Linked DNA regions of Mus musculus. Each later gene encodes a partner of the first gene's protein in a complex. Links are inferred from orthologs where the notes say so. Each region holds a gene or a part of one and is shown on either strand. Other genes may lie near its edges.

What was found. Proteins that work in one complex are often made in the same cells at the same time.
Region 2: Taf1b (region 1) and Taf1d share a complex: the UniProt entries of both Homo sapiens proteins name them as parts of the transcription factor SL1/TIF-IB complex. The link is inferred for Mus musculus from reciprocal best matches to the Homo sapiens genes TAF1B and TAF1D.

The regions. Positions count from the first base shown.
Region 1 is NC_000078.6:24,495,259-24,503,178, forward strand, and holds the start of Taf1b (TATA box-binding protein-associated factor RNA polymerase I subunit B), read left to right. Parts: upstream 1-3,322; 5' UTR 3,323-3,373; coding exon 3,374-3,391; intron 3,392-5,177; coding exon 5,178-5,276; intron 5,277-7,920. UniProt on the Homo sapiens protein: Component of RNA polymerase I core factor complex that acts as a GTF2B/TFIIB-like factor and plays a key role in multiple steps during transcription initiation such as pre-initiation complex (PIC) assembly and postpolymerase recruitment events in polymerase I (Pol I) transcription.
Region 2 is NC_000075.6:15,306,970-15,314,352, forward strand, and holds the end of Taf1d (TATA box-binding protein-associated factor RNA polymerase I subunit D), read left to right. Parts: exon of another isoform or gene 1-21; intron 22-758; 5' UTR 759-784; coding exon 785-852; intron 853-1,555; coding exon 1,556-1,946; intron 1,947-2,889; coding exon 2,890-3,065; intron 3,066-3,388; coding exon 3,389-3,440; intron 3,441-4,557; coding exon 4,558-4,726; coding exon of another isoform or gene 4,727-4,743; exon of another isoform or gene 4,744-4,939; coding exon 4,940-5,052; 3' UTR 5,053-5,135; downstream 5,136-7,383. UniProt on the Homo sapiens protein: Component of the transcription factor SL1/TIF-IB complex, which is involved in the assembly of the PIC (preinitiation complex) during RNA polymerase I-dependent transcription.

The DNA of each region.
Region 1 (7,920 bases):
CTCCAGTCTTTATCCTCAAATTCATACCCACGGTGGTGCCTCTTCCCCTGAATATCCAACTCACCTACTCAGCGTGGTATTCAGAGTCCCCACATGAACATGGGACAAGAACCACTAAGACATACACCCAAACGAAATCCTGCTTTCTCCTCCACTGTACTGTGTGTGGATGCTGAAGACTTTCTGCCTCAGTAAAGGCTAACCATCTTCTCACAGCAGGTCAGATGCTGACAGGTCCAGACCATCTTAACTCTTCTCTCACCCAACCTACCAGGTTTGCCTTTTGCTTATATCCAGAACTTACCCCTCTCTCTCCATCACTGCTCTTCCCCATGTGCATTTTGTTCTCCTTTTTTGAGGCAAGGTGTCATTATGTAGCCTAGGTAACCCTCAAACTCATGATCCTCCTGCCTCAGCCTCCTGAGTGCTGTGATTTCAAGTATGTATGTATGTATGTATGTATGTATGTATGTATGGCATCATATCTTGTTTTACACAGAGATGGGGACTAAATGGAAGGCTTTGTGCTTGCTTGGGAAATGATCCACCAACTGAGCTACATCTACCCTCTGTAGCTCTGTTTTTACTTTGATTTTGCTAAGTTGCCCAGGCTGGCCTTGAACTTATGATCCTCCTGCCCCAACCTCCAGAGGAGCTGTGATTAAGAGCTGCAGCATTACCTTTTGTTTTAGGATAAAATGTTCTGTAGATATCTGTTAAATCCATTTGTTTCATAACTTCTGTTAGTTTCACTGTGTCCCTGTTTAGTTTCTGTTTCTATGATTTGTTCATTGATGAAAGTGGTGTGTTGAAGTCTCCCACTATTATTGTCCCCCAGAGCTCCTGTTTCTAGCTGCATATGTATCAGAAGATGGCCTAGTCAGCCACCATTGGAAAGAGAGGCCCATTGGACTTGCAAACTTTATATGCCTCAGTGCAGGGGAACGCCAGGGCCAAGAAGCAGGATGCGGAGGGGGAGGTATGGGGGCACTTTTGGGATAGCATTGGAAATGTAAATGAAGAAAATACCTAATTAAAAAAACTTTAAAAAAAAAAAAAAGACCTGCAGCACTACCATACTCTACTGTCTTGTCTCTTGCCCATTTTTAACTGTTCATTATTGATTCATATAGAATTCTGGTTCTGTAAGTCCGTTCCTGAGCAGAGGAGTGTCAACACTTTTTGTCTTTTCTTTGTCTTGCTGATGTTTCTATTATTCATTTATTTCCAGTCTCAGAGCTTGAGCTCATGGTCTTCCACATGATAGGCAAGCACACTGCCACTGAGTGACGTCACAGCCCTAAGACAATTTCTGAAGTAGCTATCAGATTATTCAGATTTTTCTATTTCTTCTTGTATATTTTTAAATAATGTTGTTTTCTTTTTTCTTTTCTGGGTTTTTTTTTTTTTTTTTTGAGACAGGGTTTCTCTGTGTAGCCTGGCTGTCCTGGAACTCACTTTGTAGACCAGGCTGACCTCGAACTCAGAAATCCGCCTGCCTCTGCCTCCCAAGTGCTGCGATTAAAGGTGTGTGCCACCACCGCCTGGCTAATGTTGTTTTCTTAAAGAAAAAAAGTAGCTTCCTTTGAAACATTCAAATGTAGGCAGACAGTGGTGGCACAAGCCTGTAATCATTTGGGAGGCAGAAGCAGGCAGATCTCTGAGTTCAGCCTGGTCTACAGGTTGAGTTCCAGTACAGCCCAGACTACACGGAGCAACCCTGTTTGGAAAGAAAATTTAAATGTACTGGCTTAGGGTTTTTCATAAAACAGATTCTCAAACAAAAAATGTGTATCTGCATTAAAGATCCTTCTTCAGTGAGACCTTTCCAGACCACCCCTCTCACTGCATTTAACATGTCTTCCTTATTCTTCCCTATTTCATTTTTATTTTATGTGTGTAAATGTTTTGCCTGCATGTATGTGTACACCATGTCTGTGCCTGGTACCCACGTCAGTAGATAATGGCACCTGATCCCCAGGAACTAGAGTACAGATAGTTGTGAGCTGCCATGTGGGTGCTGGGAATCAAACTGAAATCTTACAAGAGATGCCAGTGCTCTCTTAGCTGCTGAACCATCTCTCCAAACCCATGATTTTCTTATTTTTGTCTCTTCCTACCATAGTATTGATATTAAAGTCAATTAGCCTCACTTTATTTAGTACCTCTGTAAACTACTAAACTCCTAGCACGTAGTAGTCCCAAGGTGGGAGGAGGCAAAATAGGTTTAGCTTTCTAAATTATGACCCTTTATTTTTAGTACCTTCATTAATTTGCAAATTGCAGAGACCCCCTCTCCTCTGGGCTTGGAGATCCTTTCCCTCTAACATCTATAATATCAAGAGTTTCCTTTGTTCTCCAGAGTGCTGCAGGATCCTTGACATATCCCAGCCTACCCTGCTGGGGACCTTATCATCTGAAATCCATCTCAGCTCTTCTCTACTGCCCCTGGAAAGAATTTTTAGTATCTAAAACAAATGTCAGGCTCTGGTGGCACAGGCCTTTAATCCCAGCACTCAGGAGGCAAAGGCAAACACATGTCTCTGACTTCAAGGCCAGCCTGATCTACAAAGTGAGTTCCAACACAGACAGGACTACTCAGACAAACCCTGTCTGGAAACAAATAAGCAAAAACAATTAAATAAACAGATATAAATGTTCACAAAGGTGGAGACTTATTTTGTTCACAGGAAAATCTAAAACAACTTTAGTTTATGGAATGAAGCAGGGGATTAGTGTGTTCAACGAGGGAACAAGAGATAAATGTATTAAGAATTTATTAAACGAGACATAATTATATTCATAGGCAAACATATATTTTTTACACAGGAGGAGGTGAAGGTACAAGAAAGAAATAGAGTTATGACTAGAAATCTTGGTCTGGGGATGTTCAGTGGTGTGGAGTTCTTGGCGAGCATGCACTAGGAGGGTTTGGTTCCTAGGATCTGGGAAGTTAAAAAAAATTTCAAATAGACAACCAGTTCTAGTTCAACAACCTGTGTTCAAACACTGAGAACACATTTTGTAAAACCCAGAAGCCGGAAGTCATGGCACACGCCTTTAATCCCAGCTCTCAGGAAGCAGAGGCAGGTGGGGTTCAAGGCCAGTGTAGTCTCCTGAGCTGAGTTCCGGGAAAGCCAGAGCCACAAAAACAAAACCACAGAAAATCCTCGTAGGTCTGAGCTCTGTCACTGGGGCCTGGTCCTGGTCCTGTACTGCCTGCCAGAAACCTGGGTCTTGAGTCCCACAAGGGCAGCACAGAAGACTCCTGGAACGCAAAGGCAGAGGCTGTGTTTCCGACCGGAGCGCTCTCCCCGTCTCTCCCGGAAGCGGCGCTTGCTGTTTGGGTAACGGTGTCTGCAGCGGAGCCTCGATGGATGTGGAGGAGGTGGTAAGGACCTAGAGGAACGCGTGCAGCTCCCACTCGCGTTCCCTAACTCAATGGGCCAGGGATAGCCAGGAGGAGGAGGAGCAGCGCCCAGGGCAGGCGTCGGCTCGGGGCGGTGACCCGCATAGGGGGCGGAGCGAAGGGGCGGTGGCCACTTGGGCCCCGGAACCTGGCTGCTTGTCCGCTCTGGGAGGTTGCGGGTGGGATTGGGTGGAGTGTTTGTTCAGAGGGGCCGTGGGCCAGAAAGAGGATGAAACTGTGGGCTTGTGGGTTGGCCACCCCCGTGGCTCCTTGGAGGAGACCACCCAGCAAAGCTCCCTTTGATGCTGGTTGCGCGTGAGGAAGAGCAGGACCTGGAACTTGGGTTGCCTCCAAGTAATCCCTGTCAGCCTGTCTAGGGTACGGACACCAGACTCTTGCCGAGGACGTTCTAATGTGCTTGCTATCTTAGGGTTTCTATTGCAGCGATGAAACACCATGACCAAAAAAGCAAGCTGGGGAGAAAAGGGCTAACACTTCTATATGATTGTTCATCATCTAAAGAACAGGGCAGGAACTTGGAGGCAGGAACTGATGCAGAGGCCATGGAGGGGTGCTGCTTACTGGCTTACTCCTCATGATTTGGTCAGCTTACCAGGTTCTGTAAAACCTAGAGCTACCAGCCCAGAGGTGACACCACCCACAATGGGATGGACCCTCCCTCATCAATCACTGATTAAGAAAGTGCCTTACTGGCCTACCTGCCACCTGATGGTATGGAGGTATTTTTCTTAATTGAGCTTCCCTCATCTCAGATATCTTCAGTTTGTGTCAAGCTGACACAAAACTATCCAGCACACGTGCCCACACCTCACTGTAAGAGTGGTTAGGAAGCTGCTGCACTTTGCATGCACTGTGAACATGATGGGTGTATTCAGTAGCTGACCCATAAGTCAAACACCAAAGAATTAGGAACCAGTTCTCTGTGTGTGCACTGACAGAATAATGATAGAGGGACTCAAGGTAGACAGTAGATACTATCTGTATCCATGACAAATGTAATAATGTCTATATAATACATTGATAAACCTAAAATTATAATCCATATAGACCATAAGTGGACCATATGCTCCTTTTGCTTCCAGTAGAACCCCTAAGCACCCAGTTAAACGTTTGGTACTCATACAGTTGATACCCTTTATATGGTTGGATGAATAAATCAAAACTCGACACATCTGCCTCAGTGCCCCAAAGAAAAAGTCAACAGTGTTTTCAATCTTTGTTTGCTTTGATCATCCATACGGTGGGTCATCCTTTTCTCCCTCAGCTCTCCCAGAGAGTTTACCTATATCTTTGTTTCCAATCTAGCCCTGTCCACCTTTCTTTCTTTGTTCTCACTCTGTATATTTCAGTAGTTTTATGGAATAGTTACTGCATTTCATGCTACTAAAGAGACGAGACTCAGGCTGGCAAGATGACTCAGCCAGTAAGAGCACTGACTGCTCTTCCAAAGGTCTTGAGTTCAATTCCCAGTAACCACATTGTGGCTCACAACCATCCCTAATGAGATCTGACGCCCTCTTCTGGTGCATCTGAAGACAGCAACAGTGTACTTATTTATAATAATAAACAAATCTTAAAAAAAAGAGAGAGAGACTAAATTCTCCTTATTTATAGATACTGTCTGTGTATTTTTAGTTTGATTGTTTTTTAATTTGGGGGGATGAAATTGCCAGGAACACTGGAAGTAGAGTTCAGAACCATGGTGCAGTGTGTTGGCCCGACAATAACAGATTTCTATCTTCCACAGAAAGCGTTCAGAGACCGCTGTTCTCAGTGTGCTGCTGTCTCCTGGGGCCTTACCGATGAAGGCAAATATTACTGTACTTCCTGCCACAATGTCACAGATGTAAGTAATGTGCCATTCACGAACTTGATTATGTTCTCAAAATTGAAGTTTCCGGGTGGTATGTGGCCTGACTCCTAAACAGTGCATCGGTATCACTCACTCAATGGCTGAATTCCAAGAATAGAAACAGGCTTTAAGAGCACAGTCTTAGATTAAGAAATTTGCAAACTAGATTGGTGATGAACTTCTAAAGTTACGTTGAGTCACATTTATAAATGAATGTTTCATTTACACTATATGCATATGGAAGTTTTTTGTTGTTGTTTTTTGTTTGTTTGGTTGGTTGGTTGGTTGCTTGGTTTTGGTGTTTTTGAGACAGGTTTTCTCTATATAACAGCCTCGGTGTCCTGGAACTTGCTTTGTAGAGCAGGCCAGCCTAGAACTCACAGAGATCTGCTTACCTTTGCCTCCTGAATGCTGGGATTAAAGGCATGTGTCACCATGCCCAACATGAAGTATTTAACATTATACTTGAAGGATATTTTTATTAGTTTTTAATGTGTTGTACCAGCTTAGAGATTTGGAGGATGGAGTGTTAGAATGCAGGGGGACTGTTGGGCATATTGGAACCAGGCTTCCTTACCATGTATCTTTGTGTAGTTCCTCACAACCTACCAAGTACTTTCTCATCCAGTATGTAATTTCTGCTTCACAACAACCTGTGAGATACAACAGTATGCCCAGAGAGAGTAAGCAGGGCTCAGGAGTCATTAGTGGTTTTTGTTGTTGTTGTTGTTTTAAGACAGAGTCTGACTATGGAGACCAGACTGGGCTCCCACTTAGAGATCCAAGAGAGCTAGGATCCAAGCCACGCACCACCACACCTGACACCACCACACCTGACACAGTTGAGTTTGTGGCTAATGCCACAGGAGTACAAAGACTTGGGACAAGACTTGAATCTGAGTCTTCTAACCCCATCATGCCTGTTTCTTAAACTAAAGATTGTCACTCTGTATTGTGTAGTCATGGTGTTCGGGGCCATCTCCACCCTGAAAGTTCTAGGTCCTGGTCTGGTGAGCATACCTTTAGGCCAGTAACAGAGTGTGGACAGCCTGATGCTGGACTAGCTAAACGTGCCATGACTGTTTTTCATAGGGAAGGATTTGCTGGAAGTGCAGAGCCAAGAAGGAATAAGCACTGCTTTCAGCACTTATTCAGAAGGGCTAGCTGGGGTGGAAGAGAGACTGTGCCCCAACGTAGAGCATGATAGGGACTGACGTGCCTTCCCACCTCAGACAACTCAAAATCTGCGCAGAAGATGTAAAACAACAACAAAAGCCACCTTAAGACACATAGCTAATTTAGCAGATGACTCAGTTTCACAAAGCACTTTGCTTTTTAAAAGGTATGTATATGTATGGGTATGTGCATGTGCGTGTGAGTGTAGGCGTCTATGGAGTCCAGCAGGGGGAGCTGGGTTTGGGATGGTTGTGATGGAACCCAAAGGTCTTCTGCAAGACCTGGGCATGCTCTCGGCCCTGAGCTGTCCCTCCTGCCCCACACAGGGTGTTCCTTTGAGGTGGCTTCTTTAGTCTATAGCTCAGGTGCTTGTTTGCTTCCTCGTTAGTCAGACAGGATATTGCCCAGATATATACTTAACTAAAACACTGGGCAATGAGGGAGCAGTGATCTCCTTGATCATGGCAGTGCAGACATGTCCCATCGAGATATATAAATGCTCATGTACACAAATGCATCAGATTACACTTGAAATGTATGCAGTTTATCCTGTGCTTTGATGCTCACTGAAGCTCCAGTGGTTTAGTCAGTGTTAATTTTATAGTGTGGTTCAAATGTAAACATAGTGAAGGAGTGGGATGTCATAATGGGGGAGTCTCCATTTGCAGATGGAGTCAGGGCACTATTTTTATAGGCATTGAATAGCCGTAACTAATGACTTCTTTTATCTTTATCTTTGATGTTTCTTGGTTTGGTCTGATTAAGTCAATTACCATCATTTTTAGTTTGAAACAAATATAATATTACTACTAAGCTCTATATTTAAGAGTCTCAACCCAAGGGAGTGAGGATGTACAGTTCTTGAAGGTGTATGACATTTTTTTTTCTTTTCCTACTGTTCAGGGGCATGATCTAGTACATTCTGTGTGCTGGACAAGTGTCCTATTAACTACAGCCCTGGTCCCAATGTGTTTTTGTAAAAGGCTGTGACCCTGAGAAGCTGCCCTCCACACAATAGGCAAACCCGAGGGAAGTTATACAACTTCAATTGTTACTCTTGGCTTTACACTAACCCAGGCATGTTCAGCACACAGAATAGTGTTCAGCTGTGCTTCCTGGAGTTGTGTAGTGTGGTGCTGTTGAAGTTCAGTGGGTGAAGAATGACCAGTGAGTCAGTAGCCTGGGACAGGTGGAGGCTGCGATACAGCTCTCCTGACGGTCTGCTTCTCTCCTCTCCCCTCAGTGCACTGTGTGTGATTCTTCAAGCTCTTGGCACTGTGTACAATCCCAGCAAAGCCTTCTGTGTGGAAGGCTTTTTTCCTGGTGTGTTTTAGTCAGGAAAAAGAACTTAAGGTCCTTAATCTGGCCAGTTTAGATGACATATATTTTTTTTGAAAATCCTTAAGTATTTAATACTAGTATGGGCTTAAATTATGTGAGTTTAATAGATTTTGTAAGAACA
Region 2 (7,383 bases), on another chromosome or scaffold:
CAGCTATTTTTAGGCTGGCATGTGAGTTCTGGGAGTCTCATCTTAGTCCATTGACAGTATTCTATTCATTTCTTTTTTGGGGGGGGAGGTTTCGAGACAGGGTTTCTCTTTATAGCCCTGGCTGTCCAGGAACTCACTTTTTAGACCAGGCTGGCCTCGAACTCAGAAATCCTGCCTCTGCCTCCCGAGTGCTGGGATTAAAGGCGTGCGCCACCACGCCCGGCCATTGACAGTATACTTAACTGCTAGGCTATCGTCTCAGCCATAATCTAAAGGTTCTTTTACACGTTGTTAGGATTACAGGCCTGTGACCATTTGATCAGTAGTGATTTTTGAGCCACTATCGCCATATCCCAACTACCCGAACTCTGTTTCAGTGTCGAGTTCGCAGCCCAGATTGGAATTAGAAATGCTACTGTGAGGCTAGGTGGTGGTTAAAGCCATGTCGGGTTTTGGGGGTAGATTTAGTGAGAAAACAAACTGCATTGGAATGTGGCTTCTTGTTTTCACTCACATATTTAAAGAAAACTATGCCATATGTGTGAGGGTACTCTGGAAGACAAAAGATCACTAACAGGGAGCTGGAGTTAACAGGAGATTGTGAGCAACCCGATGTGGATACTGGAAACAAGCCCACTCAGAGGCTTTAAAGTAGATATAAAATGTACTATCCATAGGGATTTTACAGAAATTCACACAGTGGGAAGGAGTATGCTGAACTTAGACTGCTGGTACATCATTGAAATCTGTGATTGCAGAAAATTGGGAAAGGCCGCGAAAAGTGATGGCTCAATCAGAAGTGAATTCTGTCTGTGTGGCATCGGATAGAGCTGGAGATACTGGAGACCAAAGGTAAGGTAGCTTTTGTGGGTAAACTAGAGATTCAGTCCAAATGTTCAATTTATTTTTGAGACATCTCAGTAGATAGAGCCATGGCTGCCCTCACCCAGGTAATCCTGCCCATCTACCTCTCAAGAGTTGGGATTAAAGGCATGTTACCACACCCTGCACTCCAGCAAGTTATTTGTAATGCTTGTACTTAAAATAGATAGAGAGAACCTCAATTAGCATTTATATTAGCTTGACAGTTTGATTAAAACTGTATAATTCTACCAACCTGAACATGTAGGAATGGAACATAGTTTATTTTTTCCAAGAAAACTACATTTGGGGGGCTAGTTCTGGTTTTATTGGCCCATTTTTGTTTAGTAGGTAGATAGTGGAAGCTTTAGTGATTAAGTGGTGCTTTTGAAAGTTAAAACTGAACATTTTAACCAACTGTCTTGTTTTAGATATAATAGTAAGTACTAGTGGTTAACTGGTACTGAATCTATTCTAAAATGCTGGGTATGATTTTAGGGGGTTGATCTTTGAAGAAATGCACTTTGAAATTTTAACATGGTTTTTAGGTTTGTCATGCTTTTGTCTGGTGTTCTAAGGGCAGTAAAGGCTGTTGGAGCTGTGAACTGAAGGAATGCATGATTGGGAGCATGGCCTTGAAACTCGGGGAGGATTATAGCTAATGATAACTGATGCAGTTTCATTTTTGTTTTAGTGATGACTCCTCTGATGGCAGCTTATTTAAAACTCAGTGTGCTCCTTCACCTATACAAAAGCAAAGACACCCTACTGTGAAACGTGTTACTTTACCTGCAAGTGTTGAAACAGATTCATCAAGTGACTCTTCTATAGAACCAAGGCCTCTGACTTTAAAGGCTATTTTTGAAAGATTTAAAAAAAAGAAACGGAAAAAGAGGAAAAAGAGAAAATATGAGCCAAAATTAAGACCAAGAGGAAGACCAAGAGGAAAACCATCGGGAACGAGGATCACTAGAAGGTCGCAAATAGATGCAAAACAAATTAAAGACAAAGGAGCTGTGTTTCCATTCTTAGAATCTGAGAGTGGAAGAAAACCTTTACCTTGGAAGAAAATTTTAACATATGAGGTGAGTTTTTTTTTTAAATGTAGGTGAATACATTAGGTAAGATTGAATGGTTTGTTGGCCATTCTTAATTGTTTGAGGGACACCTGAAACAGATTGTTACTTTTAACAATAGTGACATCCATATAAAGTGCTCCAATTTTCATCTCTTGCATCACTAGAGAAATGTGCACAAGCATATTTATCAGTGTGCACACAGATTTATGGAGTTGTACTCCAGCTGGGTCCCTTGAGGTCCCTTATATTATCTCTAGACTATTCTGAAGCACACCACACCCAGCTTGCTTTCAGCAGTAGTCAATCCTTTGAGTACAGGCGAGAGAGAAGGTATGGTACCATTTAAGGCCCACTTTTAGAAGTCCCAGGAAGGGCTGGAGAATAGGACCATGAAGGAAGCTGCTGGTCCTGGGCATTGTTAGCCTAGGACCTCTTGCTCAGAATGGTAACACCCACCCACAATCTAGGCAATCATACAAAGATCCTCTGTTGAGGATCCCTTCTAGGGTAATTCAGAGCTATGCCAAATTGACAGTTAAAAGTTAACTAGTCAAGGGCTAGAGAGAAAAACCCAAGTACCCAGATACTACTTAGGTTTCTCAAATGTTTGAGTATTAACTGTTGAATGGTTGCAAGTGGTCGGAAAATGTAATCAGTGATTAATGTCTACTTTGTATTTATTTGTGTATGCACGTGCAGACATGGCAGAGCTTGCCAGTTTGGGTTGTCTTCCTATTCACCTTGTTCTTATTGTCTTTACTACCCAAGTCTGGAATTACAGTAGAACCATCATGCACATAACATTTACGTGGTTTCTGTGCTCTCACATCTGGTCCTTTTGATGAACGGCAAGCCATTGTTTATTTAGCCTCTTGGTACAGTTTCAAACTTGATTATAATTAGTATATGATGTTTTAATATTTAAGGAATTGTGTGTTCTAACTTGCAGCAAGCTGTTGCAAGAGGATTTTTTCACCACATTGAAAAACTCAAGTATGAACACCACCTTAAGGAATGCTTGAAGCAAATGCATGCTGGGGAAGATTTAGAAAAGGAAGACCTTGACAGTCGGAGGCACAAATACATGGATGATGATGGTTCACTTTCTCCTATTGAAGAGCCATTGTAAGTTGGATCTTGAAGGGCAATTTATGGGGTTTGTCATATTTAAGCTAATTTAAAGACAGTCTCACTACTGTACAGCTTTGGCTAGGGTTGAACTCATTTACCTGCCTCTCAAGTGCTGGGGTGGGTGTGCCATCTATAAAATGAAGATCCTATAAAATTCTTCAGTAGTAATCGTAACTTCTAGTCCATTTAAGATTGTTTAATCTGAGGTAATGTGCACAGGACATCAGCTTTGGGAGGATTATTTTTCTTTGACTATAGGTTTCAATGGTATCAGAATACTAGGTAAGATTTGTGACACATTCCATTTAATGTTACAGAACTGAAGATGAAGCAACAAATCCTCAGGCTGAATGTGATATCAAGTTGGTTGTAAGTGGCTGATTTTTATTGTTTCATTTACAGAATGTACAAGTTGTATACTATTGAATTTTTGTTTAAGAGTGGAACTACTATTTAGGCTATTTGATAACCAAGGATTTTTTTTTTTTTTTGTGACTCTTCCTCTTAGTCCCAAGTGTTGGGGTCTGAAGCCTTGTCCACATTTATATTTATGCCAAGGTATCATACTGCTGAGTTATAACGCTAGCTTTGAATATTTGTAGGATATTGAGGCCAGAGGTTAGACTGGCCTCTTGAGACCTCAAACCAGTGGATTAACCTACCAGCATGGTCTTTGCTCCTGCTATTGGCTTACAAAATGTGTATCTCTGCCTGGCTCCAGTCTTAAGATTTTTTTTTTTAAACTCAGTATTATGTTTTGTTTGCATGTAAGTATACCAGGTGTATGCCTGGTGCCTGGAACTGGTAGGTGCAAGGAATTGAATCTTAGTCTTAATTAAGAGAAGAAGCCAGTGGGCTGGTGAGATGGCTCAGTGGGTAAGAGCACCCGACTGCTCTTCCGTAGGTCCAGAGTTCAAATCCCAGCAACCACATGGTGGCTCACAACCATCCGTAACAAGATCTGACTCCCTCTTCTGGTGTGTCTGAAGACAGCTACAGTGTACTTACATATAATAATAAATAAATCTTTAAAAAAAACAAATAAAAAACATTCAATTTAATATGTAAATGTTAATTGTTAAAACTTTAAAAAAAAAAGAGAAGAAGCCAATGTTGTGGCTTATTTTGTGCTGTTTATTCTATACTGTTTTCTACTTAACTGTGTGAGTGCTTTACCAGCATGTATACCTGATTAATGGAAGAGGGCACCAGGTCACATTTACCATATGGTTGCTGAAATTTAATGCAGTACCCCTGAAAGAACAGCCATTGGTGTTTAACTGCTGAGGCATCTTTCTAGCCCTGAAAAGCCAGTATTTTTAACCACTGATCTAGCTTCTGATAAAATAATAAAGAACTTTTAGCTAATCTGGTGTGCTGTCAAATGAGAAAATAGTGCTGGTATAGTAAGGAATATATTTGCACTCACCCATCAGTGAGTTTAGTTACTAGTTTTTTTGTTTTTTTTTTTTTCTATTAAATGCAGGAAGACAGTTGCTTCATAATAAGTTCAGAATTCTCAAGGAAGAGAAACTTGGAACAAGAGAAGATTAAGAAAGAATCTACATTTTCTAAAAAAGCCAAAGATGCCACACACAGAGAGAAAGGGCACAGAAGAACCTTGAAAGGAAATGAACATGTGACTATTGAAGAAGGTAAAGAACATAGATAACAGTGTATGCCAAGTAGATCAAGAACTAATCTGGGGAAGAAGATAAACTTGCTGGTGGAACGCTAATAAATACTTAGTAAAGCTTTTTTCGTTGCTTGATTTCAGAGTAAGAAATACTATAAGGATTATTTTACTACTATAGTAAACATGATTGTGATTCTGGAAGGAAAATGCTAACAATCCTATACATGTCTAGATTCAAGACCCCAGCCTCGCCCTTTTGCTCATCTGCAGAGCAAGGTCATGAAGAAAGGAGAGTTAGAGTATCTGGAGGTTCACCACCTCTGTGGTCTGTCGCAGCCACTATGACTATGAGGAGGAAGAGATGATTTGAAAATTGGATTAAACTCCTGGACTCTTATACTAGAAAAAATAAACTAATGATAAAACCCAGCCTCTTAAGTGCTTAGCCCAAATTATTTCATATTTGTGTGTTTTGCCTACATGCATATGTGTGCAGTACCCAAGATCAGAAGGTATCTGTGCCTGGAGATCTAAAGTTACAAGATGGTAATTAGCCAGCCATTGTTGGTTATGAATATGATTTCCTTTCCTATTCATAGATGGGCAGTGGTGGCGCATGCCTTTGATCCCAGCACTTGGGTGTCAGAGGCAGGTGGATTTCTGAGTTCAAGGACAGCCAGAACTATTCAGAGAAATAAAAAAAAAGTTATTATCTGAGCTTTCTCTTCGAACCCACACCCAGGTTCTGTCTGCAAGTCTTAAGTCAAACAAGTGCTTATCTTCCCCAAGGGGGGTTTGAATATTACCACTGTTCCTACTGTCCTATTGTGGTCACAATTGTAAAACTGGCTGTGTCAGATATGGACAGCTTTGATAGCACTTGTGTTTTTGTCAGCTGTTGGACAATGGCCAGTTGAACAGGTGCAAAAATATAAATCCTCTTGCAACCCAGAACTCATTGCTCAGTATGAGTTTTGATATATACAAGAAGGAATATAAGCACAAAGGTGTTATTGATGAACTTGGTTCTAGCAATATCATATATAGTTTACCTTATAAAGGTAATGGAGTAGATGGATATTCCTTTTTTTTTAAAGGCTTGTCTTGATTATGAAGTCAGAATTGGAAGATACCCATGAATGGATGTTTGTTTCAGTGTTGTAAGTAGCATGTAAATTTACATCTTCGGAGTTATGTTAACTTTCAGTGATGCTAATTCTATGAAAGTTTTAGAGTGCTCCAACCCCTCAGTAAATCCTAGAACATTAGAATCAATAATTTGAACTGAAATAGGTATGTTTAGCAGAAGAACACAAAAATAAGGCTTTAAGGTCTTATACTCAATTTACAATATTATAAACTTCTCAAGCATGGTACATCACAAATACAGTGTTTGAAAAGTGAGTTAACTAAGAATCAGACTGCCACTTTATTTAGTTTTATCTATCTGCCTGATGTAATTGTCTCTGAGCCTTACTGCCCATCTGCTAAAGAAGGCCTATCCTTGGAAGCTTACAATCTGATGTAGGTTTAGAATGTTTTCAGCCTTGGAGACTTTGCTGAAAAAGCTCACCCTTGATATTGTCTGGTTTACCTCAGGTGTTCTGGCTCATTCCTTCAAGCTGACTGATTCATTCTGACTTCTGCCTCAAACTACCTTGCAATCTGTTCTGATCTGGGCTCTTCACTCTTGGCTCATTCTGTATTCACCTGTGTCTAGCTTGATCTCTCTTAACCTGTCTTTGTAAAGTTCTCCTAGTAAAAATTGCCTCTTGCCCTCTTACGTTGCTTCTCTTCTGACATTTGGGCATATCTTATTCTGTTAAATCTTTTTCACTTTGTCTGCTACTCAATTAGACATCACTTTCATGGGTGCTTTATCTTTCTTCATTGTTTAGGATTAAAGGTATGTGCGTGTCTAATTCCAGCCAGCACAACCATGTTGCTGGGTTAAAAAAAATCACTACAGTAAAAGCAGTAAAAGTGAGCTTGAGAGTTCAGCACTGTAAGAATGCAACCTTGAGTTTAAGCTAGGCAAAATTCTGAGATTACAATGTGATTTCCTATTCATAGATGTCCATATAAAAGATGGCTGGAGAGCTTCACAGTTGTTGAAATGATTGCTTTTGAGGTCTATCCCGACGGGGCTTCCCTAGTAGCCAGACGTCGTTGGAAACGCCTCATACAGTAACTTGTGGTTTTACTTGACTCACAGGACTGACTGTTAGGTCTGTGGGAAGGAACTACAAGACAGCTAACAAAGTATAAAACTGATGTGTTAATTTTGTTTTGTTTGTTTGTTTTTAACTTTAGGCACTGGCACTTCCTTCATAAAGATTAGAGTTGTGAGTGTGAGGTAAGTTTTAGTGACACTAATTTTGGGAAAAGATAGTTCCAGTTCAGATGATGAATTCAACTGTTCAACTGCTGAATGAGCCAAACATGAACTAACATTAACTCTGACAGAACTGGCTGCAGCTGGTAATCATAGTAACCTTGGCAGTTTTTATAACTGAAATGACAGCCTTTTTAAAAGTCATGTGTTGTTCTCTAGGAATGGATATGAGAAGACCCTAAAGAGATGTTTGGTAAGTAACTAGTTTTGTTTTTTGTATAAAGAATTGTAGATCTCCAGGTCGCATGTAAGTTCTCAGAAAAACATTTGCTATGTGTACA